Linked DNA regions of Oreochromis niloticus. The protein of the gene in region 2 purifies or fractionates together with the protein of the main gene of each other region. This does not show direct contact. Links are inferred from orthologs where the notes say so. Each region holds a gene or a part of one and is shown on either strand. Other genes may lie near its edges.

Region 1 (7,703 bases), on a different chromosome or scaffold from region 2:
AGATGGAACAAATATCACACTCTTGTCTATCAAACTGATCTTATTCAAACCAATAAACAGCAAGGTTTGTCAGCACACTTGAGGTTACATATAATCGGTTCTGATCGATTTGGACAGCGTGTTAGGACACCAGAGCCAAAATCCACATCAGTTTCCCTCATTTGCTCAATATGAATTCTGATATTGTTAAACTTGTGACTTTGAAGTGCTTGTCACAGCCAGCTGGCTCTAGTAAACATGGATGTTATGGAAAATCCTCCTCCTGTGCCAGTGAAGGGACAGAAATACTAACGCTTGCATCTTTACACATGATACCAGGCGTTGTCACTGGGTCAGCGGGGTCGAGTGGCCCTGCGTTTAAGGTTTTTCAAATCGTAGACCCCGTCCACTGCCAAAATCTAATCTGTTTAATAGAGGTCAGGGAGGTTCTGCCATAGATAACTGATTGATTGTGGAAATAAAGCTTAATCTCCAGCACACGCCACTTAAAGTGACATACAGCAGCGAGGCTGTACCTCTGAGTAACTCTAAACAGCCACATACATGTCATACACAAAAAGTCAAAACAGAGGTACTGGCAATCACTCTGAAGGCACCGACTTGCTCAGACACACTACACAGTACACACAGTGCTGTATACATGAACAGCGGAACAAACAAACAAACTCCCCTTTATTGGAAACTTGATGTCACAGGCCACTGAAGTGAGCTCTGCAACAACACAGAGCTGTTCAAATTCGACTTTCTGGGTCAAAACTGACAGGCACAATAAACCGCTGAAAAATGTGTGCAAATCCTGGCTTGTTTTCAACACACGCTCTGAACAAATATAATAAAATTACCCAAGGTATCATCTAAGTAATCTGCCCCACATTTATGCTTTGTCAAATCTTCATGCATGTCCCTTTGCTCGCACTTATTATTATTGCTCACCTTGCAGTAAAGATGGCTTCGGTAATCATTAACTGTTTAATCAAATGGTCAACCTTTCTCTATCACAGGGTATGAAACCAAGCCAAACAACACAGGACAAATAAAGCAGTGTGACAGAAAAATTTCCAAGGCCCTTTACTCCCCACCCCTAAATAATGCTGGTTTCTGCCTTGTAACTCTAGCACGATCTGCCTTTAAATCAAATGGAAAATGTTTGAAAGTTATATGAAATTGTTGCATTTAAAGAAAAGACGCAATATTCTGCAGTAAAGATGTGTCAAAGTGAAAATACAGAGACAACTTTGAGGAATCTTTTTCATGCAAAACAAGTGCAGATGCCCAAATGCTTAGTGCTTTGTTGTCATTTAAGCTACATTGCAGGCCTTTGTGGTACAACATGCATGCAGTTTGTGTGGCAGACTCTTTTACCTGGCCCACAGAGTCGACTGTAGTGATAGGGGTTGCAGCATACTGTTGGACTGTCCGGGGCCCCAAAGCTCCTACACTCACAGAGCGGTTTGAGCTGGGCAGAGTGCTGGAGGTCAGACCAGCGGTACAGTTTACACACAAGCAGCTGTGGGGATGCCACATGGCCGCCGAATCTCAGCTCTGTCCGTGAAATCATAACACAGTCGCTCGGCATCCCTCCTCTGGACTCCACCGCTTCTAGTAAGGTATCCAGCGCTTTTTCCTTGAGCCGTTTTAAAAGAGCGTATGTGGCTGATTTCAGTTCTTGCTCTAATACCGTGCGTGGCATCGCCTCCTGCGCCTCCGGAGAGTCGCTGTCTCCTGGTCCAAGGTTCCTCAGCCCGAAGTGACACGACCCCGGATCCCTGGTGCCCTGAGCCGTCTCTGCACCCCTAAGCTCGGAGTGGTCCCGGTCTTTAAATAAGCAGCACGTCACCGTCCTGCATTCGCTGTCCTGTAGCGAGCGGGGGCTGCCCTGCTCCTGGGCACACGCGGCACCCCCATCCTGGTCCGACGTGACCCTCGAGTCGCTGCTCTCCACGGGGCAGACACCCCCTATGTCCACGACAAGAGACCCGCTAGGGGTCATCGGTCTGAACTCCGTTTTGGGAATTTTCTCTGGGTTGTAGCTGAACAGATCGTCCCTACAGCCCTCACCAGTTTTGCCAATTCCATCTTCCCCTTCTTTATCTGGGATCAAACGGCTTCTCCAGAGTCGCCGCACAAGACCTGAGCGTTTCGTCCTGAACATACGACAACTTGAAAATCTATAAGGATTTTTTTTATTATTACTCTTGTACGGATATCCTAATATTAAAGACACTTCTCCGGTCGTTGCAAAACATTAATGACGCTGAAATGCCGTGCAGTGCATGCACAGCCAAGTGACGAGCATTGGTGGCAAAACCGCAACATTAGAATTAAGGAGATTTGGTTGCATCTACAACAGCAAAACCGAGCAACAAATGCACTGCACCATTCCGATCAAAAGGCATGAATTCAGCCGATTATAATGTAAATAAACAAACTATGAAACTGTGGCTTATTCTCCAGGATCGCTGTGGAATGGACTGTTTACAGCCTTTTTTTTCTTACAAGCAAATAAAAAAATAATCTGAACACATGAAAACATATAGTAATATATTCTATAACATAATCCAAAGCCAACAGCCTCCAAAGCAAGACGACAACTCGCTGCCTCAAACAGTTCCCGACTTTTAGCCACCCCAGTTCTACTTTCTACACCGGCACGTAGAGCATGAGGTACTTCGATGCGTTTTAATCCAAAGTAAATGCACCGCAAAGTCAGGATCCTTGCCGTCTTCTCGAGATGTCAGTGCACTTCTTCTCTTTTTAAAATCCAAACAAAACGTCCATGCGTGCTGAAATGAGCTTTACGAAGCCGATCGATCCGGGGCTGAGTAGAGCTCCTGCTTCTCTGCTCAGATCTAAACCAAACTGCAGCCCAGGTCCCGTTCTTTCTCCGTTTCTCGCTCTTTTTCTTTCAGCCCCCCTCCTCTCTCTTCCTCACACACACACTCACACACACACATACACACACACATACACGGGGCCCCCGAGGAGAGCGGTGGAGCCATTGGCTGACTACCATCATGTGCTAGTCTAGACACTTTGGCGGCTGAGCTGCACTGATTGTTGCGCAAACAAGGTTTCAAGTTTCTTAACTCTTAAAGGCGAAACACCCATCTCTCTTTTTAAGTTAAAGTTACAAAAACTTATTTACACCCACTGCACTTAGTATGTAAAGTTTTTACAGAAAGCGAAAACAAACAAACAATTGAGAAGCTCATATGCACCAATATGTGCTTTTATTTCTCCGCTGAAAAGTCTGATTATTTTCATTATTTATTTTGTTTTCTACTTCATTTTTTTTTATTGAGCCACAAACATGGAATTTAACTAGAAATTTTTAGAAAATAATCTAATAAAGTTTATGAGATTATGAAGAGTGAAGACAAAGCATCAACATAGCATAAAAGAAATAAGACAAAAATAATGATGCTGACACTCATCTTTCAGTCTGTCTTCACCTAAACAGGCATGAATAAATAATAAAACTACATGAACACGGAAACCCTGCAATTGCATTTACATAGGATGACGGACAGGACGATCGATCTTGCATTAGACCTAATCTTTGACCCATTGACCTCATTAGGAATTTTTTCTTACTGAAAATACAGTTTTTCTGCAGTTTTGTGATGACATCGCATGCATTGCCTTGCTGGGTGAAAATAAAAGCAGTGCTGATCACAGTAAATTCACACATCATGAAGTTTTAGCTTTGATTCAAAGCACCAAAATGCTCCCAATTTAAACTCGTAGTTTAAGTATTTAAATATGTAAGAATTATATTAAGTTAGAAACATTCTTATATATAGAACTTACACATTATACTGGGCTCAGGGCCACTTAGCTGGTTTTCTGACTGCTTTGGGTGTTCAGATCAACACAACTTTACTTTTGGATATTTTGGTCTTTAAGTATGCCTGAAGTCTAGAACCCACGGACCTCACCAAACGCTGTGTGTCATGTCTTGAGATGCTCTGCCAGGACTTGATTGTGGGTCTTTATGCATTCAGTTTTGTCCCCAGTAAATGAGAAAGACCAGGTGACTGAACTGGCCATTGAAGAGTATCCCATTTCTTTGCCTCAAAAAACTCTTGGATTGCATTTGCAGTATGGTTTGGGTTATTATCTACTTGGTCTGTGGAATGTAGTCCAATCAGTTTTGACTGAATCTGAGCAGAGAGTATAGCCCTGGAAATGTTAGTATTCATTCTGCTACTTCTATCAACAGTCTCATCATCCATAAACACGAGTGACTCACTTCCGCTAACAGCCATAAATTCACATGGGTTCACCATGTTTGACAGATGATGTGGTACGCTTCACATCGCGATCTGTTTATCTCCTTTTCCACGCTCTTCTCTTCCCATCATTCTGGTACAAGTTAATCTTGGTTTCATCTGTCCAAAGATTTATTTTAGAGCTGTACAGGCTCTTTTAGATGTTTTCTAATTAAGTCTGATCTAGTCTTCTTGATCTTTAGTGTGGTTTGCACCTTGGTGTAAAAACTCTGGATATCCATTTATGAAGTTGTCTCTTGATTGTAGACTTTGACAGTGATACTCTCAACTCCTCAAGAGTGTTCTCACCTTAGATGTGTTAGATGTTGTGAAGTTGTTTTACTTAAGCAAGAACATGGACACAACAACAGGTTTTCGGTGTAGCCGAGATGGACACTGCATGCATTCTTTTGAATACCTTACCAAATTGTTGATTTGGACACTCCTAGAGATTTTTCTGAGTCGCTGATGAACTTATTTCAGTTTTCAGAGCTCATTATCTTGCATTGGCATCTCTTTGGGCCTCATATTGAGAATTCCAGTGAAAAGCTACCAATTCCAGTTTCAGCACTTGGAATCAACTTGAGATTTTTTTATCTGCTTAATGTGTCATAGAATGAGGGTGCAGGCCTCACTGGTCTATGAAACTGCTTGTAGGTAAATTGTCCAGCTACTTTTGACAGTCTTTTGAAACCATGTAAAATGGTGTAATTCCTAAACAGTATAGGAACACTTTTGCAATATTTTAACTAAGCATTTGAACTATACACTGGTATCAGTATGGGAAAATGGGACTGCAATACCATACTGTGGGTGCTTGGATGTCAGTTTCAGAAACCCTTGCTATTTATGTACTAGTGAAGCAACACGTACTAATATGTTTTCGTAGTTATTTTAGATAACCCTCTCTGCTTTTTAGAACTTGCAAAGCTGCTATAGCAGCTTGTTTTAGTAAACAGAAATTACATGTGTAGAGGCAGTGGCCTTCACATTGGCTGGAGACACAACAGGTGAACCCTTACGCACTGACCTCCCCACGATTCGGCACCTCCTAATCTCAAGTTTCTTGTCTTGTCAAGACAGGCTGCAAGAATAAAAAAAACATAATTCAAGACTTAAAAGTTTAGTAGTAAACACTGCTGATTGGCAATAGAAAGCTTAGTAACTAAAGTTTAAACCCAATATTAAACTTGTCATGGAAATTAAATTATACCATGCTCAAGTCAACCATTGGTAATGTGCTAAAATGTTAAACAAGACAAATTTTTAACTCATATTAAGTGTACTTTAACCTGATAACTATCTTAGTAATGTTTGAATGGAACATATGTAATCTAAGGCTTAAATATAAAACTGTATCTCTTATATAAAGAGTTTCTTTATTCCAGTATTATAACAGGAACTATGGACACATTGACTTTTAAAAAAACTTCATAATAAACACATGCAGCTTTCACTTGAACACCTCTGAAGCTCTCCGGGTTGCTCCAGTGGAGACTCCAAGCTTTGGCTGCAGCAGCATACTGTGCCAGTGTCTGAACTGGAATCAGATTTCCCTGGCAGGATCAGGGCTTTGGGGCAGGGGGAGGTTACTGAGGGTAGACGTGGAGGCCCTCATGCCTGCACTGTGTTAGAGGCACCTGTTGCAAATGCATTCCCTTTTGTAACTCAATCACATGTCAGACAAGGAAAAGAAAACTGTTATTACAGAGTACTGCTTCATTTGAATCATGCAATTTTCAGTCAAGACAAAAGAAGACCCAGCTGGCTCATAAGTCAGTGAGGCTGTCTGCTCTGCCATGCTCGCTGCTGGAACAGATTCATGTGAAGCAAACCTCTGAAAGCATCAGGAGCATGCAGACATATTAGATGCTTTAAATTTGGTACAGCGTAAGTTACATACCGATGATCCAGTGACCCTGGGAGAGGGTCTTGACTCGGTCACTGTTACAGCGAGTTAACTAATGAACCTGTGTGAATATCTTTAAATCAACAGGACACTGGGATATCATCAAGGCAGAGGTTGGATTTTCACGCTGAAATAATTTTTTGTATTTGTGTTAAAAAATGCGTACCAAAGCAACCAGTTTGTGGATTTCAGTTTTTTATATATTTGTATGATTTGTTTATATGACGGCATGCATTTTTGAAAACAATTGTTTACTTTGTGTTCACCAAAGAAGACAGCGAACACTTTTGGAATAAGAAATGCCAGTAATGATTTCAAAACAACTTGACAATTTGTTTTATTCAAGTGTATTATATATCAATGCTGTTTCATTTCTGTTTATTTTATTCTATTTATGCACCGACATTTACTCTTGCAGTCATTGAGTATCATCATGCATTTGTCAATGTATAATTCTGGATCAATGGCAGACATCGGAAGCTACCAGCAGTGACTCTTCATTAATAAATTAGACTGCCCATCTGTTTAAACACTGGTCGGTTGAAATGCCCCTGAACTTTGTAGTTTTACACTTCAATGCCAGTAAAATCAGTTTGCAAACTGCACACTTAATTCAGTTCACGTATGGAGGACATATTTAATTTCAAAAGGAACAAAGAGAAGTTCTTCTTAAACATGTATTAAGAATGAAAAAGCTCATAGCAGCACATATCATGCCAATGTGATACCAACAAGAGTAGGCCAATGCAAAAATGGTATTTACAGCTCCACGATGGACTGTAAGAGGTTCCTACATGAGAAACTGTGATTATCAGGCAGAGCGGATGTTTTTTCTTTTTTCTTTTAAGTGACTTTTGTTGTGCATTTGATTATTCCAAGGTTTCAAAGATAGACACAGAAACGTCAAGACAACAGCTGTTAAAAATAGCACTTGCGATATGCATGTCCTCTTATAATGGCAAAGTGCTACAGTAGAACAATGACTGTATGATACATGCTGCCTGAAACAACCTGTGGCGTTTCATGTTTTTAAACATTCATAGGCAATATGCCTTATTAATTGTTTTTTATTGAAACAACGGATTATTTAAAGTGCTATCTTAAAGCTACAAAAAACAAAACAAAACAACAGCAAAAAAACCCCAAGCAAACATGGACCTTACTTTAATTGAGAAATCAAAGTTCTGGCATTTGAACTTTTCATTGTGCAGTTGTGTCTGAGCCCTGCTCCACTAATGCATGCTGCATGTGTGAAAGCGTGTAAGGGAAGACTTCTTCAAAGAGTAAGAGGTAACTGAGTACGAGGATCTAAAACAGGGCACAGCTGTTCACACAGGCCTGTCCCCTGGCCTTCCCCTCTCCCTGTGAAGGCCCAGTCCCATGCACCCCTGGAGACCCCTGGGTAATACTGCAGTGGTCACACCAGCTCAACTCTGACTGCATTTCAGACAAAGTGGGCAAGCGACTCATACACGGCAGAAAGATAGATTATACAAGTGATGCATCTGATGCAAGACAAATTT
Region 2 (7,874 bases):
GAGGTTTTTTGCACTAATAAAGTTGTGGAGTTGTAAAGTATTTTGTCTAGTATCAATTATATCGTCAGTTATATCGTTATCGCAAATTTTCAAATGTATATCGTGATAAATATTTTTGGTCATATCGCCCTGCTCTACGTGTTGCGTCCACTAACTTTATCCTACTGAATGACTGATTCTTTAATTCCTTTCATGGCATTTTCCACAATAAAACGCCATTCACTTACAAACAAAAACACCCTTTTCTCCACTATTTTTGACCTACTTATGTTCTGCATCTTGCCTTGACCGTATTTTTGCATTCAAATGTTATGTTTCACACGCTCAAAAACCAGAGATAAACAAAAACAGCTAGCTGTAGTGTGTTTTTAAAAAAAAAAAATATTACTACAGTTGCAAGTTTTTGGTATCAAAACTCACAAAATAAGCATATGATCAAACATATGGTGCTTTTTTCAAAATATTTAACACTGTGTACGACATAAATAATTTGGTTACATTGGTTTCAATACAGAAGCTACTTCTGACTGTTCCCTTCTCACAAGCAGTGGATGCACTAGGTTGATTTGGTAGAGTTTTATGCCAGATGCCCAACATAATGCAACCCCAGGGATTCATGTGTCTCTGGCTGGAATTCAACCAGTATCCTTTTGCTTCCTAAACTAATGTCTATACCGCATTACACAAGTTTCAAAATAATGAAAAGGAAAAAAAAACTAAACTAAGTATTTGACTTCCTTTGTTCTTCCATGTTATTCAAAGCAATACCTAAGCTTAAGAAAAAGATAACGAAGACAGGAAGACACAATAATCACTTGTAAACACAACAAAGTCTCTCAGATCTGACCCAGTGTCAAACATGCTTATGTCCCTATTGCACAAACACACGTGCATGCTTTTCAGATATACTGATGTTGAGAGGGGGGGGGGACAACCAACTCTTTCTGGCAGACTAAACAGAGCTGGCCAGCCTGGCAGCATTGCACTCCCATTGGCTCATTGCACATTCCTTACCCAATTAGAATTCCACTCATACCTGTGGAGGCGGGGCACAGTCAGGGGCAATAACCTCTGGTTGCATACAAGTTGAAAAATGGTTGACTAGTATACACACACATACCTTCTTTGCTTGCTTTCGTCTTAACTCATCTGATGAAACACTTTATGATAACATACTTCCTGTAGAGCTTATTTTACCAGAGTCGCTTACAGTAAACTTTACCATAAGAGGACACGATCTATTATAATCCCAGATGACTGCAGTGTTTTAACTGATTTTGACTAAAATGATTTGTTATCAGTTAATCTACCAATCTTAGTAGTATATAAAATACCCGCTTACAGTAGATACAATGATATAATCTATTTTGATCACTGATGTCACTCTTGAATGTCAAGAGTGACATCAGTGTCACTCTTGAATGTTAAGAGTGACATCAGTCCTTTGTTATTATTTCAAACAAAAGAAGTGGTGAACTGTTCTTTTGCAGATCTACGTGGCTAAGTGAGACTCGGTGATAACGTCAAGCGCAGATAACCTCAAACTGAAATGTATAAACAGTGGGATAAGTGACGAAGTGTGCTGGATCTGTTAGTCTGATTCCCGTCCTTATTTCTTGAAATCCACTCTTAGAGGAATAGTCAGTAAGTAAACAGCATGTGGGGAGCATTTTCAGCCAGCACTTCACCTCATCAGTGCTGACAGGCATTTGCTTTAAAAGACATCCATCACAATCATACCTTTGCAGTACACTGCTGCAATGCTCCATGAAAACCACACAAAGAAATATTTAGTCTGACGGAAAGCAAATTTTAGTGTGTGTTATTGCTCATTTTTGACTCAGAGGGACAAGGCGTCTGCTCAGTGGCTCAGATGGGTCATTTCCATTTGAATAGAGGCCCCTGGATGCCCAGTGGGGTTACATTATCAACAGTAGGAACCTTTGTTCCAGCTGTGACTGTATGTGGAGCGGAGGAGGAAACTTCTATATGACCTACAGGGCAGACTCCGACCCACAAACTGAAAAATAAAATAAAAAATATTTCAATTCGGTTGAATTAATGACCCCTGAAGAACAAACATGCTGCACTTCCTTCAGTGGGGACAAGTTCAACGAGTCCGACATTTGTGCAGCTACAGCTGACACAGCAGCGAAATGCCAATCGATACTCATTGGTAATCCGGACTAGGATGTCAAATCTAGCGGGAGATCAATTTTCATACAGGCTGCCGCTCGACATTTGCTCTCCCCCCCGCGTTACAGAGCTCGCCGCATTCGGCTGAAGCGGAGGTTTCGGCTGGTGGTCAGCACCCCCAAAAAAGGGTGTAGCTAGCAAGCGCTAGCGGTCAACATTAACCACAATGTTACTATTAGCTAGCAGGCTAAGAAGCCACTGTTAGTGGTTGATAAAGTTTTTGAACGTGGCTTTCAAGCGTCGGCATTCACCAAGACCAGTGGACTAGTCGCCTGTCTCAGCTGCAAAACTCACAGGACAGTGAACAGCTCCTTGGCTGTCCTCTCGGTAATTTACTTAGCATCTAAGCTAACGAGCTAGCACTCGACTGGTGTTTGCCACACAAAAACCGGATGTTTGGGCGAACAGCAGACTCGAGAGGCTCAAAGACACTTCGCGTCGTCTCGTTAGGTTTGCTAAAATCAACACGTTACCGAGCAAACACTGAGTTCCGGTTTAAACGTGCACAGTAAGCTCTTTCTTTCGCTCTCGCTTTTACCTGTCAGTCGGATTTTGATGCTGGACCCGTTCCTCCGACTCCCAGGATTCGACATCACTCCGGGAAAAACGATCACACAAACTTCCCGTTCGAGCCAGCCAATATCACAGTTTCACCAAGTAATGGAACTGCGAATAACTTCAGTTTCCACACATGCGGTTTGCTTTTGGTTTCCTCACGGATAAAAATGTATTATTTCACCGCAAAGTCTTGCGCTCCTTCGAAATCCGACAACACGGGAGAACATTTTCGGGCAGGCTCAAGCACGTACTGACGTATTGTTCTCAGTGTCTGTACAGTACGTGCTCGCTCCGGGAAGCGTGGGCGTGCCCGTGGTGATCAGATTCTTTCAAGTCTTTAGACATTCTGTTTTGGTTTTTACTTCAGTAATTAGGGCCCGGGCACTAAAAGTACGAAGACCCTATTGGAATTGCTCCGTTTATTATTATTCAGACAAAACAAGTGGCTTTTTGAGGGCTTTAACATATTCAAAAAAATAGAGAAAAAATAAAGAAATATTGCACACGTTTCAGGTCTGGTAAAAAAATTTTTTGGTATTTTAATAGTTTCGCATATGGGCGGTGCAAAATGGCTCTAGAGCGCCACCTATGCGTTGTTAAATAAAGTGCTATGACCATATAGTTTGAGCTACATGAATGAAATTTGGCTCACACGTGTAACATGCCAAGACGAAGAAAAAAATAATTGGGCCCATCAACGCAAACCCAACAGGAGGTCCACCATTTTGAATTGAATGTGAGATTTTGGCGCCGATTTTGCCATTTCCAGGCGTTATACTTTTGCGAACGCCTAGGGATTTGATCAGATCAGCTTCATATTTGGTCAGTGTCAACTACACACCTGGGCCATTTAATTTACAGCAGCATTCATTTTGTTAAAAAAATACAAAAATAGAACAACACACAGAACGGGCCAACATTTAGCTAAAAATCGTTTAACAACAATTATTGAGTTCAACAAAACTCAATAATTTTGCTGAAACGATACTGCTAGGTGGTTTGTTAGCTAAGCTGTCTCACCTTGTTCAGGGATATTAGCTTCAAGGGGTGGTGTAAAAAGCATTTTTTTTGCTTTTTTAAAAGTGACAGCTATGGATTAAACAGGATTACTAAACACAATTTTCACATAGTTTTCTTTTTCGTGTTCAACACGTCAAGCAAGCTAACACCAAGTGTGTTAGCAAACAAACTCATAGTCGATCGATATGGTCTGTGTGTGCCAGGCCAGCAGCCAAAGCAGTTAAGGTAAGAAGATGCTTCTGTTTAGAAATATATGACCAAAAGAGGGTATCTTAAGGTGTGAGACACCCCCTGCTACAGGGGAACGTCACTTACATTGTTGTTAAAAAGCATTTGCTCCCTTCTGGATTTTATGGACTCCAGTGAACCACAGTGAGAGCCATTAACCAGAATTGGAAAAGAACTTGTAACAGTGGTGAACCTTACCAGGAGTGGCTGGCCTACCAACATTCAGTGCATCGACGACTCATCCAGGAGGTCACAACTGAACCCAGAACAACATTAACGAACTGCAGGCCTCACTCGCCTCAGTCAGAGTTCATGATTAAACAATAAGAAAGAGACTGGGCATAAATGGCATCCATGGAAGTGTTCCAATGAGAAAACCACTGCTGACCACAAAGAACAAAAAGCCTTGTCTCACATCCGCCACAGCACATCTTGATGATCCCCAAAACTTTGGGAAAACATTCAAAAGTTTCAGAAGGGTTAAACAGTCCAAAATGCCTCCACAGAAATGTGCCACCACTGTAAAATGTATGATATGGGCGATAAATATAGCCACTATTTGCAGTTTTCACACAAACATTTTCGCACCATTGTACCACAGTCAAGTGTTGCATTATTTGCAGGTTTACACCATAAATTTAGAGAGTCGTTACGTGATGGTCCAAGGGGTCCCAGCAATTGGGGTTATAACTTAGTTGATTCAGCTGTGTGCCCTCTATGGAGCTGTAGAGGAGTACCGGCCCCTGGACGAGTATCCTGCCGAAGAGTTCACAGAGGTCTACTTTGTAAAGTTCCTTCCGTTCATTATGCCTAACTGGCAAAGTCTGAAGAACCTTCGGAATAATTTGGTTTTGTTTCGGCTCAGCAAAGCAACACATGGATGAGAAAAGTTTCTATGGTGGTGTGCTGCATGTGTGCTAAGTCCGTATAATTTTATATCTATAGGTTAGATTTTGTCTCTCAAAATCCACCACTCCAATGAACAACAACTTAGTTCCACCTTAGTCCAAGCAAACCCAAGTTAAGATAATCACACACACACAACTAGTCACTTTACATCTTTTCATTGTTTCTTTGTACATTTTCACAATCATTTTTAAATGATGTGGATTTTTGCACTCGAGTTCTGAAGAATACTTATTTTCAGCTGTATTTTTTTTCATCTGTTAAGACTTTTTTGTGTCTCATTTTATTATTGCAAAGTGAGAGAAAAGGAACAGAAAGAGGACAGAAAAAACTACCATGTCAGCCAAACACAGGAATTTTTTTTTAGGCAGATAAGTTACATATGTGAAGGTGTGAGAGTGAGCTTAAGTAAAAAAAGTATGATTGAGGAGTTACATTTAATTTTTTCATCCAAGGTCCCTTGAAGAAAAACAGACAGTCCCTCAATCCACTCTTCCATGCCGACAACGCCGTCTTTGTCTTATGTAGTGAAGACTGAATGACAGACAGTTACACTCACAACATGTCTTGGATTTAATTTTAGATTTTAATTGTTCGTACTGAAGAAATTGTTGAATTGTTGTTGATAATTTGGAGATTTAGTTTACTTGCCACCATTTTATTGACATTTTACTATTTCAAAAACAATATTAGCTCTGTTTGTGTCATGTGGAGGACCAAAGACCAAAGAAAAACACAGGGCTTAAGTACACGAGTACCATAGACGATACGATCATAGTCAGGAGCACGCCAGGGCTTCCAGCGGAGCTCCTCCAGCTGGCCAAAGGCTGCCTCCCGACGCTCATACAGCTCACGGTCTGCTAGGTCCATGTTCTGGATGCGATCTTCTGTCATGTGGAGGCTGTGTGCAGACACACGGAGTAAAAAGGTGAACTGAAATGCAACTTTACCTTCAAACTAAAACAGGAAACATAACACAGAAACGCGGACTTGACGAGGGGATACAGCAGACAGGGGAGAAAAAGCAACTAAGGAACACAGATCAGAAACTAGAAGGCAGAACTCAAAGTACAATACAAAACTCAAAACTCTGGGTCGACGACTCACGTCTCCTAATAGTTTGAATTTGATGGCACCAACATATCTCAAGACAGCTGAGAAGGCAACAGTAGGGTGCAAAAGTAAGTGGTACTAAAAAAGAAACAGAGAAACATTTTGCAACTTTAGGTTAATTGGCAGTAGGTCACTAACAAAAGTCAACATAGGGTTTTACCAACAGAGGATGACTGGATACATGACTGGATATATATTGAAAAAAAACCAAAACAGCATCGTTGAGAAACGGAGTTCCTCAGAAGTAAAGATGGGTCGAGGTTTGCCAATCTACAAAAAAAAATTGCATCTACAGTTTATGCAAATTCAAAATGATCATTGCATGCTGCCTTTATTTACATTTCACACAACGTCACACCTTTTTTGGAACTTGGGTTGTAAATAAATAAATAAATATAAATAACTGTAAACTGAATACCTCTACCCGTGATCCTGTCATCAGTCAGCCCAAAGATCCTGTGCAGCATGCTTAGGAAGGTCCCTCTGTCCAGACCGTGCACTGCTCTTCCAGAGTTGTTACACTCCGCCATAAGCATGTTAAAGTCTCAGATAAGGCACTCTGTAAAAAATGACTCGAAAAAACATGTTTTTGTAAGGTTTTGAGCTAAATGTGGAAAAATGTTGCCATTAATTTCAGCATGATTCAGTTTACAAACGTCGCCCCATAATGAAGAGCACTAAACTACCTATAACAAAGTTAGCCTAGTTTAGCCCGGGCTTATTGACGTGAGAAGTTTAACCGTCATACTCACAGTGCTCCACTTGTTTTGAGATGTTTTCAGCAAGCGTCTGATTTCCACATACTTTTTGCGATCTCCTCCAGACATCTCACATATAATAAGGCTCCGCCCCTGAAGATGTGCTATATTTGACATCAGCAACAGCGCCACCTAGTGGGAATGGGAAATGTCATGTTTTACACTTTGGGGTACAGTATAGAGGTGGGTGGCCCCAGCAACCTCACAATTGTCCAGTAAAAGCCTTAAGGAGTTGGTCTTGGGTTACACTGAAAACTGTGAGTTTTCGTCAAACCCCGGCGGATTAGCGAAATTCGATGTTTCGCCATGAAGAACAAAATTGCTATAACTAAAAGAAATTCAGTCCGATCGCTAACAAAGTTCACAGGCATGATAACACTCCCACCCAGAACAGATTGCTATGCCCATTGTCAGGAATAGTCAGAGCGCCACCTATTGGGAACAGGAAATGTCATGTCTTATACTTTGGTGCACTGCTCCTCAAAGGTTGAGCCCATCCACCGTGAAAGCAGTGGACATTGGTGGAACTTGGAAAGAAAAGCATCTGGAGTTGGATTAACATCTGTCCCTCATCGTGCTTCAGTGTTAAAATTGTGAGTTTATTGACTGGCGCACCCTGGTGGCAAGGCGATTCGCCATGAAACAGAAAGTAGCTTTTGAGGGGCTTGGAAAGCTCGAAAACTCTTGAATTTTGAAACACACCTCCAACGTGAGGAAGGCTTTCTTGTTATATGGTTGTTTTCATGGAATATTGCAAAATAGCTCCACAGCACCCCCTACAAAATTTCAGAAGACCAGCCCTGCCCTATGTTTCATCTACGTGTCTGAAATTGAGAGATGTTTTCAGGCCTCATACTTTAACGAACTCCTCCTAGGGATTTCATCACATTGACATGGTCTTCGAAGAGTGGAATCTAAAGACCTTGGTGATGCTAAATTGCAAGGCTTTTCACGTTTCGTGAAACCAGGTGGTCATGGCAACACGTCGACCTTCGATCAGAAGAAGCATTTAACTGTAACTAAAAGATACATTAGGCAATCTTTCTCGAACTTGACAGGCAGTAGGAGAGTCCAGCCCCGAACCGATTAATGTGC
Region 3 (7,434 bases), on a different chromosome or scaffold from region 2:
ATTGTCTGAACTCTTTTGGCTCCTATTAATAGAAGAAAGCCTTCCAAGGAGACAGAGTCTGTTGTGTTTCATGACTTTGTTTAGACTGCATGTAGAGCTTACTTTATTTGACTGGACTTGAGATTATTTATTTTTGTATTTAACAGAATGTTTTCTTTAAACAAATCAAACTTTAGTATGCAAAGTAAATACAAACAGACGCTTTGGTTATTGTTGACAGATGTGTGCAGTTAAAAATACTGTGATTTTCTCTTTTTATTACTCATTAATAATCGATCACTACAATAACCAGCAGCTTCAGCCCTGACATCATACACTAGACGTCGTCCTCAGCCAGACTGAAGCTTTCACTCAGAAACACAGCAGCCTCTCCGTCAGTGATCGAGGGTTATTCATTAACACATTGTTGCCAACGGCTGCTCGTGTGGCTACGACCACTCAAATTAGTTGTGGTTCTTTAAGCAAGGACAACGGGTGTCTGGGGTCACCCACATGCCTGGCATTCCTCCACTGCTAGTCCTGACGGTGGGAGAACGCGGTGCCCAGAAAAACCTCCACAACAATAACATGTTGTATAAACACCCAACAGTGAAGCATGAGCAACACAACCATTCGCAAAAAACAGCAACTGACCGTCTGTGTCGATTTTTACTGTTTCTAACAAAAACATCTGTTCAACCCTCCATCAAAGAGGAAGCAGAGCTGCCACTGGTGGAACAAAATCCCATGACCACTGGGTCACTAACAAACAGCCCGTCCTGGCTGTTATTGAAGGATTCATCAAACAGCATTATGGGAAAAGGCTCTCCTCTCATTCAGCTTAATGTTTGTTGCTGTGTTTGTTCAAAGTTAGCTTCCTACCACTCTGCCCAGTGTAACCATCTGACAGTGTGGCCACTGCTTTAAGGAAAAACACTTTTCAATAATTACTTGAACATCACCCACCCTCGTCTACTCCACTGAGCGTGGAGGACATGTGACACATTAGCTTCAGCTGGCAGTGCTCACAACAATTCTTTGACGCCTCTTGTCATATCTGGTTTTGCATGTTTTGCTACGATTTTCTGCCAAACTCAAGCCTTCAAACATGGTGGTTCACAGAGATCGTGTCACTATAGTGGTGTGCATGTGGTACACAGACTGTCACAGTAACATGCCTCACTCTCCAAACCAGGTATGTGCCCACTGTCCACTCTTCTAGCAACACTTTAACATTAGGAAACAAAAAAAACAGCTCTTGAATGACACTGCTTCGTGTATCATTTCCAGCTCATCTGCTGCATTTAAACATTTGCAAACATGTATATACTTTGAATTCTGCATGTAGTAGTGTGTACGTGGAATACTCTGTAGGTGATCGGTTTCTACATCTTAAAATATTTCACGATTTTCATTTCTTACTGTGCTAAAAATGGAGGAGGAAGATGGGAGGGAAGAAGGTTTTTCTGAGTGACAGAACATCACCTCCAGCCCGTTAGGGGGGAGGATGATGAGTGCTAGTGACACCATCCAATTTAGCTTGCTGCCTGTGCTCAGCTGTGTGCGGATGCTGCTGAAGCAGGAGTGGGAGCTGCATGGGTGTGGTGCTGAACAGCAACGTGGCACAGAGGTGGCAGTGAAGATGCTCTCATGCAGTCTAAACTGTAGCACACAGCCACTCGTGGTCCAATTAAAATCAGACTTGTTGTTAATGTGAGGATAACAAACGAAAGAAGGACTGGTGTTGCTCCGAACATGGACCATGACAAGCCTCCTGCTGAACAAAGAGCAGAAGTGCCTCCCCTTTGTTTGTATCCCTGAGCCAACATATCAGTGTAACATCCAGCCTGCAACTGAAGCAGCAGCAGAGTATATGAGGACCCCACGGGGGGGCTTTAATGACCTCTTTGTATATGCCAGCTGAAATCACGCTTCCCCACTCATCACCAGCCTCTCTGTATACACAAAGGAATGTCACACAATGAAGCGCAAAAAATAAAAATGCAGGTGAAGGCTGCTTGTACCTTTAAGAAAAGCCTTCACCTGTAACAGTCAGCGCTGGTTTTAGCGACCACGATGTTTTTTTAATGAAAAACTAATAAAAATCGGGGCTCAACACTCGCGAGCGCGAGCAGCAGTGCACGCGCCTGCCCTCGTCACTAATCGTGCTGGCTACTTCAAAGCTGCGTTTCCTTAAACACTTCTACTGTAGCCAACTACGCTGCTGCAAACATGCAGTGAAACGATGCAGCTCTGGCATTTACGCAGCAGCGACTTCAGCATTTATTTAAATGAATTTCTTCTTCAAAGTTACAGCAGCGCTCAACTAATGTCTGACAGAAGCTAACAGGCTAGCGTCTGCTCGTCAGGCAGAAAACTACTGAAGTCAACCAGCAAGTTACTCTTTAAGCATTTATTAACGTAGAATAACGGAATTATTTATCAGACTGAGATCAAAGGTTATTAATGCTCCTCAAGATGAGTCCTGACCAGAACACTAACAACGCGTTTGAGATAAGAAATGGTAAATACAGATATTTACATAAATCCCAGCAGGAAAAATGTTTGTTCCCAATTTCAATTAATGTTTGACAAAAAGCAAACATCCATCCGTGATGCGGCCAACTTTCTCTCAGCCACACTCGGACTGTTCCTTCAGACGGTCCGGTGCTGGTCCAAAGCAGGATCGGAACGGGTGACCAAAAACGAGCTTAGCACGCCGAACCGTCTCAGCGCCGTGTGACTTGTTGCTGCCTTTGTCCTTTTCCCCCAGACTATAAACATTCATCAGGCAGACAGCAGCAGACTGGCCGCAGACCCTACGCCATTTTAGTTAGACACAACCCGCTTCTTGGGGGTTCTTGAACAAAGAGCACTTCTAAGGGAAGCGAGTCGAACCAAGAGTGCAAGTTTCGACAAATACACGAGAACACCAACAAACGCACATCTACTGTGTTCATTTCAGGCCACTTACCATTATTTTCTTGTATCCTTGTCCCAAAAAGAAGGACGACCACAAAAAGCCGTACTGCACCCATCGTGGCTGTGAACCAGACTGCCACTCGACTGCTAACTTCTCCCTGCGCAGAAGAAGACGGCCGCTGATAGGCTGACGGAGCAACGAGCCCGCCTGGCCAGGACCTGCTCAGGAGCAGAGCGAGCTGATTGGCCAAGGAACGTGCGACACCCCGCCCACTAGAGCAACTGTAACGCGCCTGTAAACAAACCGTGTTCACTGCATTAACAAAGAATGTTATAATTTAGTTACATTCATATTACTTCAGTACTACACCGTGTTCGTATATTTCTAATAGAAACCAAACTATTCTTAGAGAATAGAATAATAAGTCTTACACAGGGGATATGTGATATATGATATATGCCCTATGATATATGCCCTAACTATATGCTTTAGCAAAAAAGAAAGTTTGAAGCCAAATCTTAAAAGTAGAGATAGTGTCTGTCTCCTGAATCCAAGCTGGAAGCTGGTTCCACAGAGTAAATACTCTGTAAGTCCGTAGTCTCTCTCTTTCAAACCCTTCTGCAAACTCAGGTTCTGGTCTGACATACATTTCTGTTTTCTATAAATAGTGAGTTATGTTTGCATCACACATCAAATATTTGTATGTCCTGTATCCCTTTGTGCTTCTTCTGTTATGAAGATAGGGAAGGCTTTTTTGCATTTTAAGGTTTGTAAATGCTTTGAACTCTCAGTTGGTTCACTCACTTCATAAAAATACTTAATTAACAACTAGTAAATACCTGAATTAGCCATGAATTACAAAATGAAATAACACCTATAAACCCTCATTTCATAATCTGTGTATGTATAAATGTGCATCTAAATATGCTGTTAATCATTTGCTTGGACTTTCTAAATGGCTTTAACAGCTCCTAAATAACTTGTTTGTAGTTACCAGAATGAGCAATAAGAACACGGTAAAGTAAAACTATGTCCAGGCTACAAACAGCTGCTGATAACAGAGCAATGAAGACAGCATACATAATAAAGCTGAGTGCTGGCCCCAGCAACGCAGCCATAGCTTCAACAGCTGCAGTCAAAATTGCAGCTTAATGCTTATCAAAGGTTATAGTTTCCTGGGTAAAGTTTATTATTATTATTAGTAGTAGTAGTAGTATAAAAACAGCAGACACAATTAATTTTAAAAAATTTAATCGGAATTTCAAAACACATCCAACCTACAGTATCTGCAAAATATGTAGAAAATTTGATTACATACAAAACATCTAGTATGACAGCAAAGAGAAACTGGTCAGCTTCACAGAGTTGAGAGTGTTTTTTCTTTGATTGGTGCTTACATCTGGAGAAGCAGACAGGAAATGCCATTATGGACTTCAAAATGTGACATTATTGACAAACAGTTTTATGTCAGAAAAGATGGCATTTGTTGCTATTCCATCAATTTTGTAAAAAAAAAAAAATTGTTTTTTACTATTAAAATCAAATATGGCAAAACTTAAAAAACAAATCAAAGAAAACTGAAGTAAATGATAAACGGACTGCTACTGGTACACAGTGTTGGTCAAGTTACTTGAAAATAGTAATAAGTTACTAATTGTTCATTACTTCTCCAAGAAAGTAATCCTGTTACTTTACTGATTACTTATTTTCAAAAAGTAATTAGTTACTTTATTACTTGAACATGATACACAACCTGAATATGTAATAAAGCAATAGACCTTTCAGCACAATTCTATTTTTTCTGCATAATAAATCATATAAAACGTAATCAAATGAAAAAGTCTCTTTTTAAAACTTTTTGATGCATTTTAATCTTTTGACTTCATGCACGTTGTATCAAACAAAAATTTAATTATATGCAACAGTCTTTGACTTAAAGAAATTTGTTTAACATTTAAACTTATTGTCTGCATGTTCCAGCATATGAAATAAAATAATGTTTTGTGTTTACACTCACTCTTTCAAATAGATGCAAGTAAAACACAGCAAAGAATAAATAAAATCAAAGATTCAGCAGCTTTGAGTCCTGTCGCTCTTAAATCTATTGTCACCTGTTTAGCAGGAGTGGGGTGGGTGGAGGTTTGCCCACAGCAGTCATGTCAGTGGGAGGATCCGGGGGTTTCTCTGTGAATGTCACATTCCCGTGGCAGCGTGCTCAGTGCTCACTCAGATTTGAAGTTTAATTTTTCGCTGTAAAAAGAAGTTTGCTTCCCACGCAGAGTGCACAGCGGACGGTAATGTTTTGGTCACTTTTTACGGACTAAAACTTAAAGTAATGCGAGTAATTCCACGCTTTAAACGCTGCATGGTCGTACTCTCTCCATCACTCCATTGTTGATCTGCACACATCTGTTGCTGCCACAGGCGCTGCACGTTTGTATGTCATTGTCATGAAACACTTTCAGTTTAGTAACGCAGTAACACAGCGTGCGTACAGGAATGTAACTGTAAGACTGAACTGTAATGACTGTAACTGTAACTGAACAGAACTGTAATGTAATTACTTTTTTGCAACAGTAACCCCTTACATTACTTGGAAAAAGTAATTGGATTACGGTAACGCGTTACTGCCCATCTCTGCTGGTACAGCTAGGTCCATAAACTTTTGGACAATGACAAACAATTTTTTGAAAGGTTTTTAAATCATACATCTACATAACAACTGTGATGGTCTGACATTCAAGTGGTGATTCAATCCAGACTTCGAGCGTCAATTCAAGGATTTTAACTATAAAGGACAATGTAATGTGTAGGAATTACAATCCATAAACTGTGGTCGTGGTACTTTAGCATCGAGCTAGTGCTACTGAACAGGACAGAGCATAAAGGAAGTAACGTTTTTATAAGTGGCAGGTCCTTTCAAATTCAATGTTTCTATAAATTCAACAAACAGAAAACACATTGCTGCACAGCGTGTTGCTAGCTAAAGCTACAGCTGTGGTGATTTCCAGGGAAAGAAAAGAGTGTGAGATAACTTCACTCAGCGATGGAGAAAGATATCAGAAAGACAGGACAGGAGGGGAAGAAGAGCAGTTATATTTGTATAGATTTATATTAACGATTACTGTGATGTACGTAGGACAGCATGGTGGTGTTAGCACTGTCACCTCTGTATGGAGGTTGCATGTTGTCCCTGTGTTTGCCTGGGTTATGTCCACGTACTCCCGCTTCCAAAGACACGCAGTTAGTGGGGTTAAGTGGGGATTCTAAACTGCCCACAGGTTTGAATGTGTGTGTGAATAGTTGTTCGTTTCTCTGTGTTAGCCATGCGACAGACTGGCGACCTGTCCGGGGTCTACCCTGTCTATCACCCTATTGTGTCTGAGACAGGCTCCTGCCCATTTTCTTGCTGAAGCATCCACCCTCATTTTGTCTGTATCCTCTTAGTAGATGGCAAGACATTTTTATCAAGAATGTCTTGGTACATTTTTCTATTTATCATTCCTTTAGTTATATAAAGTGTGCCAGGGCGCATGCTGAAAAACAGCCCCACACCATGATGTCGTTGGTGCGGTGTTTTGGGGTGATATGCAGTGCCTTTTGAACGTTGTGTGTACTATGGCATCAACTTTGGTCTGATCTGATCAGACCATACTCTCCCTGTCTGGAGCTCTCCACACGTGCTCCTTAGCTTAACTTTTTTGATCATTCTTTTTAGTCCTCTATTTGAAAACTTAAGGGAAGCACCTCATCATGGGCGGTTTATGGTGAAATGATGTACCATGGCCCAAGAGTGACTGCAAAGTGCCATGCCACACTTGTTTGTAATGAGCTTGTAGGTGCTCAGATGAGAATGAAGACACACTTTGACAAAACATCTGTTGCACTTGTAACCCTTCTTACAGTTTATTAATAAGAATAACTAAACTGTCACTAGGCCAATATCAGAGAATCTGGGATCGTCAGGAGCCCAAGGTATAAACATCAATAAGGAAGAACCACACCACAGTAACAGTGCACAAAATGGTATATTGGATAGAAGAAATCTGGTTTAACTGCATCAACATGTTGATGCAGAAATCTACAAATACCATGTACTTCAGAATAACGTTTCTGCTCAGGTATTATCAGTTCTTATGAGGGTAACGCAAGGATTTTGTTTTCGGTTCTCAACAAACTAATTCAACCCCCCAACGCTTTACCACCACACTTCTATTCTTCTGAGACCTGTAACTCCTTGATGCTGTTGTGGACTACAAAAATTAATAACATTCACCAGCAACTCAGTTCAAATGTTGTGTCTACGCCCTCTCCAGAACCTTTTCTCTATTTTGAGCCATTTTCCACTTTTCATCTTACAGATTTATCTGATATTTCTGAGGTTATATGTAAATCAAAGCCTGCCACTTGTCATCTTGACCCTGTGCCCACAGGGCTTGTGAAATCCTGCCTCTCTTCCTTACTCCCACTCATCTCTGCTATCGTCCACTCTTCACTCACCACCGGTATCGTTCCCTCCTTATTCAAGACTG
Region 4 (6,944 bases), on a different chromosome or scaffold from region 2:
ACGCATTACTAAAATATGACGTCTGAAAAACGAATAAACTGTGACGTGTGGTGCTTAGTGCTGTGCACACTGTTTGAATGTTCATGACAGCCACTGAATTAAAAGCTGAAATCTAAAATAATAAATCATCCGCCTATCTGACGTCGGGTTGCAGGGCCTGCAGCAGGGAAGCCCAAATCTCCCTCTGCTACCTCCTTCAACTTATCGGGAGAAACATCGAGGCGTTCCCAGGCCAGCCAATCGATATAAGCTTCCCAGTGTGTCCCAGGTCTACGCTGCGGCCTCCTCCAAGTAGGACATGCTTGGTCTAAATACTTTACCGAGGAGGCGACAGCTTTAGCTGTGTCCTTTCAATGTGGAGGAGTAGCAGCTCCCAAATGACTGAATTCTTTATCTAAGGGAGAGCTCAACCACCTTTCGGACAAAGCCAATTTGTATCCGCAATTTAATTCTAATATTGTTAACAAAAAGATTACGCCTAGATTTACAGATTCATGGTGTTTCTCAACAACAATGTGCCATCTGGTGGCAGATAGCTGCCTAACATTCAGGACACAATAATATATCGAATCATTATTCTGCCTGCCTGTCAATTCTTGCACTCTCACTACGATCAGCTGATTTCAGTTTGGATATGGACATTAGCTTTATTGCACAAAAGGATGAGAGCGCAATGGTAAAGTGGAGGACAGAAACAACTGCCTCATACTGTTAACACAACTTTGGCTCTTTGAAAGCACCTGCACAGCAAGCATGCTAACGCTAAGCTAGCCAAGAGCCCAGAGTGATGTTAAAGCTGAGTAAATGCTGACCCCAGACCAGCACCATGATAAAGTGAGCCACAGCTGAACATCAACAGGTAACAAACTGATGAACAGCCAGGCTGCAGCTTCTGTTCTACCTGTTCACGTTCCTACAGTAGAATCTCTGTGGTGATCACTTTAAAGTGTCTTATATTTGATTTGTGTCATCAGCTCTGTTTTCATACCTAAATGCTCAGAGAAAGCTCAGGTGTGTCCTCATTAGGACAGGGATTTGTGTTGGTGTGTGGGGGTGTAGCCTCAGGTTTATATTATTAATTGGTAATTATCAGACAGTGTTTCACATCATTCAACATGAAAGTAACGTAACGAATCCTAGGTGTAATTAAGTAACGTACTGCATTACCTTCAAGGAAAGTATTCTGTGTAATATGTGCATTAATTACTTATTTCAGTAATGACTGGAACACTGATCACAACAAAGAGGGGAACACCTCCAACATGCACAAACGTAATTAATTTGCATGAATACGATGTCTTTGATATGCTGCTTAGACATGGTGGTGACTCAAAGTGGAGCCAATGAGAATTGATAAGTGATATCTATAATGGAGAAGAAACTGCTCAATTCTTCCCCATCCCTGGTGATTACAGGACCAGTGCTGCTGGAAACATGTTTCTCACTCAGCGTCTCAGTAACAGCTCAGCCTCTTTGCTCTTAATGGTGTGCACGCTCCATGTGACAACATCCTATTCACTTCAGCTGCTGTGTTATCAGTCTTTTTGTTTATAACTGGGGGCTGTGTGGGCTTAATGTTGTTATACTTTTTATTCACACGCTGCCCCTAAGTACGTTTCTGTTGCTGGTCTGTTTTTAGTCGCACATGTGGGTGAAGCACTCATGCTACAGAGTGGCGCAGCAAAACCTTTTATAATCGAATTACTCGATGAATTGTACACTATATTGTTACATACTTTTTGACAAAGGATTCAAACATGTATAAAGAAGGAACTTACACATCGGACTGTTTAACAATTTGTTTAGGAAAGCACACAGGCTTCCACTGTGGGAAATCAGCACACAGATATCTCCAACCTCCAAACCACCACTAATCCCAAAGAACCCCAAGAATTATCTCACTAAGTTTATAATGGTAGACTCATAATAGCATGCTTCCCTGCAGCCTGTACAGCTAACATTAGTAACTTTAGTTATATTTGGTGTGTGGGAGAGTAAATTAGTTTTTATGTGTAGTAAACAAATTCTATGGTTTAAATATTCAACACGTGACACAATTAGAGAGAAAAAAAAAGAGGTAAAAACAGAGGAAAAGCCCATTTCATGTTTTGTCAGACGTTTAGGACGTTTCACTGAAGCCCACACCCTCTGCCTTTTTCCGCAAGTTGCATCTGCTCAAAGTTTTATGATCTCAGATAAATAAGTACATTAAAAGAGGAAATAAATAAAACGCGACGGTCAAGAAATAGCATTGAAACCCGACAGGAGCCAACAACACGTAGTTCCGGATGCACGCAGTGCCGAAAGAGTCAAGAATTACGGATAGAGGATAACTTAAGCCAACACTCACAATCCTTCCTCAGTTCTCTTGAAGTTTAGAACTTTAAATTTACAAAGTTTCATTAATCTCACTCTACTACACTAACTTGCTATCATTAGTTAGCTAGCTAGTTTGCTATTAAAGTTCCTGCCAGCGTAAAGCCAGCGAGGGAAAACATAAGCGATACCCAATACTTCCTTCAAAATAAAACGGCCTTTTTTCGAGGAAATGTTTCGCCTCAGCTTTGAACGTACGCGTCTTTATTTTTTAAAGCCTTGACCAGAAAACACCGGCCTTCGTACCCACTGCTTTACAACTTGACTTGAAGTTCTCCAAAGCAAACAGCTAAGTGAAAGTTAGCTAGTTAACGTTAGCTACTTATCTGCTCAAAGCGCCCTAGTCGTTTGTTACAAGTACAATAAGGAACAAAAACACATACGCGTTACTTGTTTCACAAGGCAGCGAAAAGAAGAAAGCAGCTACCACAGCGACTTGTCGTCGTTTAATTCCACGTTTTAGAGTTACTCTTTGTTCGCTTACCTTGGTCGAAGGTGCGGTGTCTGTCGCCTCTTGCTCTGCTTTGCGATGAGCGTTGCGTCACCAGCAGTTTGAACTCAGCGGACACCTAGCGGCGCATCATGCCCTCCTCCGTGAGCCAGCACAGGAAAGACGGTTGATTTCTCCACTGCGCGTCACATACATGACACTGAGCGTTCACTCAAACATGTGGCAACATGTTAATAATTTGATTTTCATAAGACGACCGAGAAACAGCTCAACGGCGTTACTGCTAACAACAAATATGCACTGTACTGTAAGAAAGCAACATTATTTGACAGCAGTAACAAAGCTCTTTTTAGAATATAATAGTTTTAAAGGAATATTAAAATAATAATACACATTCAAAGGAAATCAAGAAAGCTTTAAACTCAGCAAACAATAAAGTTACAGCTATAAAATATAGGCTATTCTCTGCATAAAGAGAAATGAGTTGCCTCAAGTTTCGCAATAATATTTATTTTTGCTCTGTCCGGTAGTTAAACACACCCTGTTTTCTCTTTAGGATCCAATTTTAGGATAATGCATAGCTGGACTGGCCATCGGGCATACCGGGCATTTGCCCAGTGGGCCAATAGTGATTTTTCGTTTTTATGGGCCGATGGGTTTTTTGTTTTGTTTTGTTTTGTTTTTGTAACGGTATAAACAATGAAAGGTGGTGGATTGGCCAAATGCTGGTGTAAAAATAACTGAGTTGTTTGGTGGTGGCTATGGCGGAGCTACCATAAAGGCCAGCAGGTGGATGAGGGAAAGGGTAGGCAGGAGGAGGAGAGACCCGAGGCGGCCACCGGTCCGAGTGTCAGGTGAACTAAACTTCAGGTAAGAAGTTATGACCTGCAGTCTATCCGGGTCAGATATAAACCAAGTTTAGGTGGAGTTTATTTTCATTGTACTGACTTTTTACAGTCAGTTACAATAACTTGTACTGCGTGCTAGCTAGCATGATGGAGTTTCTAAACAGCTGGGTGGGTGCTGTGATGTTACTGATAGTGAACTTTATTTTATTCATGAGGTTAGTTAGTAAAGTTGCCAACCGTCCAGTAAAAAACAGAATCGTCTGGTATTCAGAGAAAATATTACGCGTTTCGTATTGAGGTGAAAAGGAACACAGTTTGTCCCGGACTTCAGCTAGAATGGAAAAGACACAAAGCTGGAGTTATTCTGTCTTTACGCTGCACAGCTGCCTCTTCTTCTCTCATTCTCTCCCCCTCCCTCTCCTGTTTCTACTTCAATCATGAAACTGATCAATGATCAGCTGATCGGCTTTTCTGTCTTGTTTGTTTATCGCCCACTTTGCGCCAGAAAGAGGAAACCAGCGGATGTCGCGTTAAACAACAGCAGCACCTTTAAGCTTGATCAGCTGTTGTTAGAATTTATTTAATATTAATTTCTAGTGTCAGCTGATGTTTGCTGGAGCCACAGCTGTAAAGCTGCTGGTCATGATGTCGGTTTGGATATGTGGTGAGAGGGAAACATGCAGATGAAACCAGGAGATGTCCTTACTGAATCATCAGAGCTGAACAGGTGATGGAGAAACAGGTTTACCTTTTAGGTGACATGGATGAGTTGAAGGGAAGTTATGAACTGTTTCTGAGAGACAAATAACACCAGGATGCTTTTCTATGTAGCTGACAGCTGGTAACTGTGCAGGGGCGGGTCTAGCAAAGTTTTGCCAGGGGGCCAGGTAGGGCATTAACAGGGAAAGGGGGGCACAAAGAAATACTTTTCTTTCTTACTCTCATTTAAAATGTCTCGCTTTTAAAAAAATAATTATCTGAATCTTAAAACCAAAGTTTTCATCTGATGTAAAATGTATAGAAATCATAAATATACCAAAAGACAGGGTACATCACTGTCACAACAGCGTTTGTTTTCATTCAAAGGCTTTATGGCTTTTCCTATAATACCTGGTGGGCCGGTCTCTAGTCAAAATGCCCGGGCCGATTTTTTGTCCCAGTCCTGCCCTGGGATAATGTATTGCTGGTAATGCTGGGAAAAGTTTCACACAAGTGTAAATGGATCATTAAAGATTCATAGGGTAGGGTAGACGGCTTGTTACACTTTCTACGCATGAATTGCTGATAATTGATACGCCTTTCAATAAACATTTCTCTATTAAATCAGAGCTTAAGGTGCTGCCTCCAAATGGGAAATGTTTTCATTTTTGCATTTACTTGGAACTAAAAGCCATTACCATCAACAACAGTCTGATACATTGTATGGGTATGTTTCCCCTACATAGATAATAATGGGGTTTTAGTAAAATATAATTTTTTGAAAGGATACACACGTAAACACATAGTAAGGGTCAAAAATTTTAGAACACCCCAGTTTTTCCACTTATTTATTGCAGTTCAAGTCGTTCAAGTCCAATGAACAGCTTTATATGGTACAAAAGTGGTGAACTGCCAGAGGTTAAAAAAAGGCAAGGTTACCTAAAACTGAAAAATAACGTACATTTCAGAATGATACAACATGGGTTAACAATTTAATCTGTTCTGCAACAATGGAGATTGATCAAGCCTTGAAAGCTGCTGCTACTAATTCCTACTGCTGTTCCAACATTTCTGGATTACGTCCAACCTCCTCTGTCTGCATAAAAGCAGTGTTGGAACACACTGTGGTACCAAACCCTCGTCAGCATCAGTTGAACAGTGTTGTACTGTAAGGTGTCAGAGACTACAGTTTCCTTCACCATCCAAAGGCTCAGAAACAAACTGTGACAAGAAGAGGTCTGCAGACCCAAAGACACAATCAGAGGACAAGTTTCTGAGAGTTAACAGCTTGTGTGATCGGTGGCTCACAGGACAACTCCAATTGCTTATTTTTACTATTCTTTCATTTCAGAGTGCAATGAGACATCAAACTTCATAATTTTCCAAAAAAATCTGGAAAAATTGGGGTCTTGTATAGCTTTTGACCATTAAAAAAATTATTTATGTATGTTTTTTCAGATAGAGATGTCAGTAAGTTTAAAAATGAACACCACCTAATGCCCCCATGAATTTGAAGCAGTGATAAATACTATGAAATATTTTACATACGAGCAGTGAAAGGAATGAATTTACAGTACTATAATCCTGTAGCTATTGTTAAAGCCAAAACAACCCAACTGTGGACAGATTCCAAATTCCATGGCTGTAATTTTTGTATTTCTAACTGATGTGTCATTGATATCATTACAAAGGACAGCCATGGAATTTGCCTACGTCTTTTTTGCAAGATTGAGAATAAAGATGAACAACATTAATATTAAACTGAACTGCTCTCCATATTAAATCGTGATGCTCAATCATCCAGGAAAGGAACGTCTTATGGTCTCTATTTAAAGGTTGCTAGTCTTGATCCAGTAACTCTATAACTCACTCAAAGTCACACAAGTCAGAGGAGTACAATCTCTGTGAGATCAGTTTATGCTTCAACACAAACTATTGTGCCAAGACATAAAGAAACAAAAACCCACTGCCTTTCCATGCCCTCTTGATAAACATTTGAACCTAGCTAACACATGGCTTTAGCTTTTAATAACTCTCCTTTAAAAAAAAATCTACTAATATTGTATTATCTTTTAATATAAAAACAACAACATGAAAAATGACCCTGGTCCATAAAAAGTACAAAGTACTTCCTCTCCTCAAACTTTTGTATTTTCCACAAACTGACCACTCCAAAACACAGACAGACTGTCAGGTCAACAGTGTCCTCTAATGTGGCAGCAACAATGTAGCAATGTGGCATCCAACCCAACTCTACCCCACAGTGTCGGTGTCCTGCATAGGCCAGTTTAGACCCTTCTTTGGGTGCTGAAGTGCCCCCAAATGTCATCACAGCACACCTAAAAATAACTATCAGTAGTAAGAGTAATGTATAGTATTAATTTCTGGCTTTGTGTTCACCTACAGGATAGAATGAAAACAGGTTTAGCGGTCCAGTGTTGTTGGTATCATACTGTCATACTCACACAGAGGTGTTGTGTGTGACACAAACTGGTGCTGTATAACTGGTGCTTTTTTTACTCCGGGAGAATAGAAAAGCACTATATAAGAATCAGTCCATTTACCATTTA

What was found.
Region 1: the proteins of smurf1 (region 2) and smad6b purify together in Homo sapiens (affinity purification with western blotting; 4 studies listed by BioGRID). This does not show direct contact. The link is inferred for Oreochromis niloticus from reciprocal best matches to the Homo sapiens genes SMURF1 and SMAD6.
Region 3: the proteins of smurf1 (region 2) and tgfbr1b purify together in Homo sapiens (affinity purification with western blotting; 3 studies listed by BioGRID). This does not show direct contact. The link is inferred for Oreochromis niloticus from reciprocal best matches to the Homo sapiens genes SMURF1 and TGFBR1.
Region 4: the proteins of smurf1 (region 2) and stk38a purify together in Homo sapiens (affinity purification with western blotting; 3 studies listed by BioGRID, with this or other methods). This does not show direct contact. The link is inferred for Oreochromis niloticus from reciprocal best matches to the Homo sapiens genes SMURF1 and STK38.

Annotation. Positions count from the first base shown.
Region 1 is NC_031972.2:51,546,173-51,553,875, forward strand, and holds the start of smad6b (mothers against decapentaplegic homolog 6b), read right to left. Parts: upstream 3,015-7,703; 5' UTR 2,153-3,014; coding exon 1,363-2,152; intron 1-1,362. UniProt on the Homo sapiens protein: Transforming growth factor-beta superfamily receptors signaling occurs through the Smad family of intracellular mediators. SMAD6 is an inhibitory Smad (i-Smad) that negatively regulates signaling downstream of type I transforming growth factor-beta.
Region 2 is NC_031969.2:10,628,747-10,636,620, forward strand, and holds the start of smurf1 (E3 ubiquitin-protein ligase SMURF1), read right to left. Parts: upstream 3,020-7,874; 5' UTR 2,790-3,019; coding exon 2,735-2,789; intron 1-2,734. UniProt on the Homo sapiens protein: E3 ubiquitin-protein ligase that acts as a negative regulator of BMP signaling pathway. Mediates ubiquitination and degradation of SMAD1 and SMAD5, 2 receptor-regulated SMADs specific for the BMP pathway.
Region 3 is NC_031974.2:34,527,560-34,534,993, reverse strand, and holds the start of tgfbr1b (transforming growth factor, beta receptor 1 b precursor), read right to left. Parts: upstream 3,018-7,434; coding exon 2,954-3,017; intron 1-2,953. UniProt on the Homo sapiens protein: Transmembrane serine/threonine kinase forming with the TGF-beta type II serine/threonine kinase receptor, TGFBR2, the non-promiscuous receptor for the TGF-beta cytokines TGFB1, TGFB2 and TGFB3.
Region 4 is NC_031984.2:35,168,905-35,175,848, forward strand, and holds the start of stk38a (serine/threonine-protein kinase 38), read right to left. Parts: upstream 3,009-6,944; 5' UTR 2,861-3,008; intron 2,829-2,860; exon of another isoform or gene 2,760-2,828; intron 1-2,759. UniProt on the Homo sapiens protein: Serine/threonine-protein kinase that acts as a negative regulator of MAP3K1/2 signaling. Converts MAP3K2 from its phosphorylated form to its non-phosphorylated form and inhibits autophosphorylation of MAP3K2.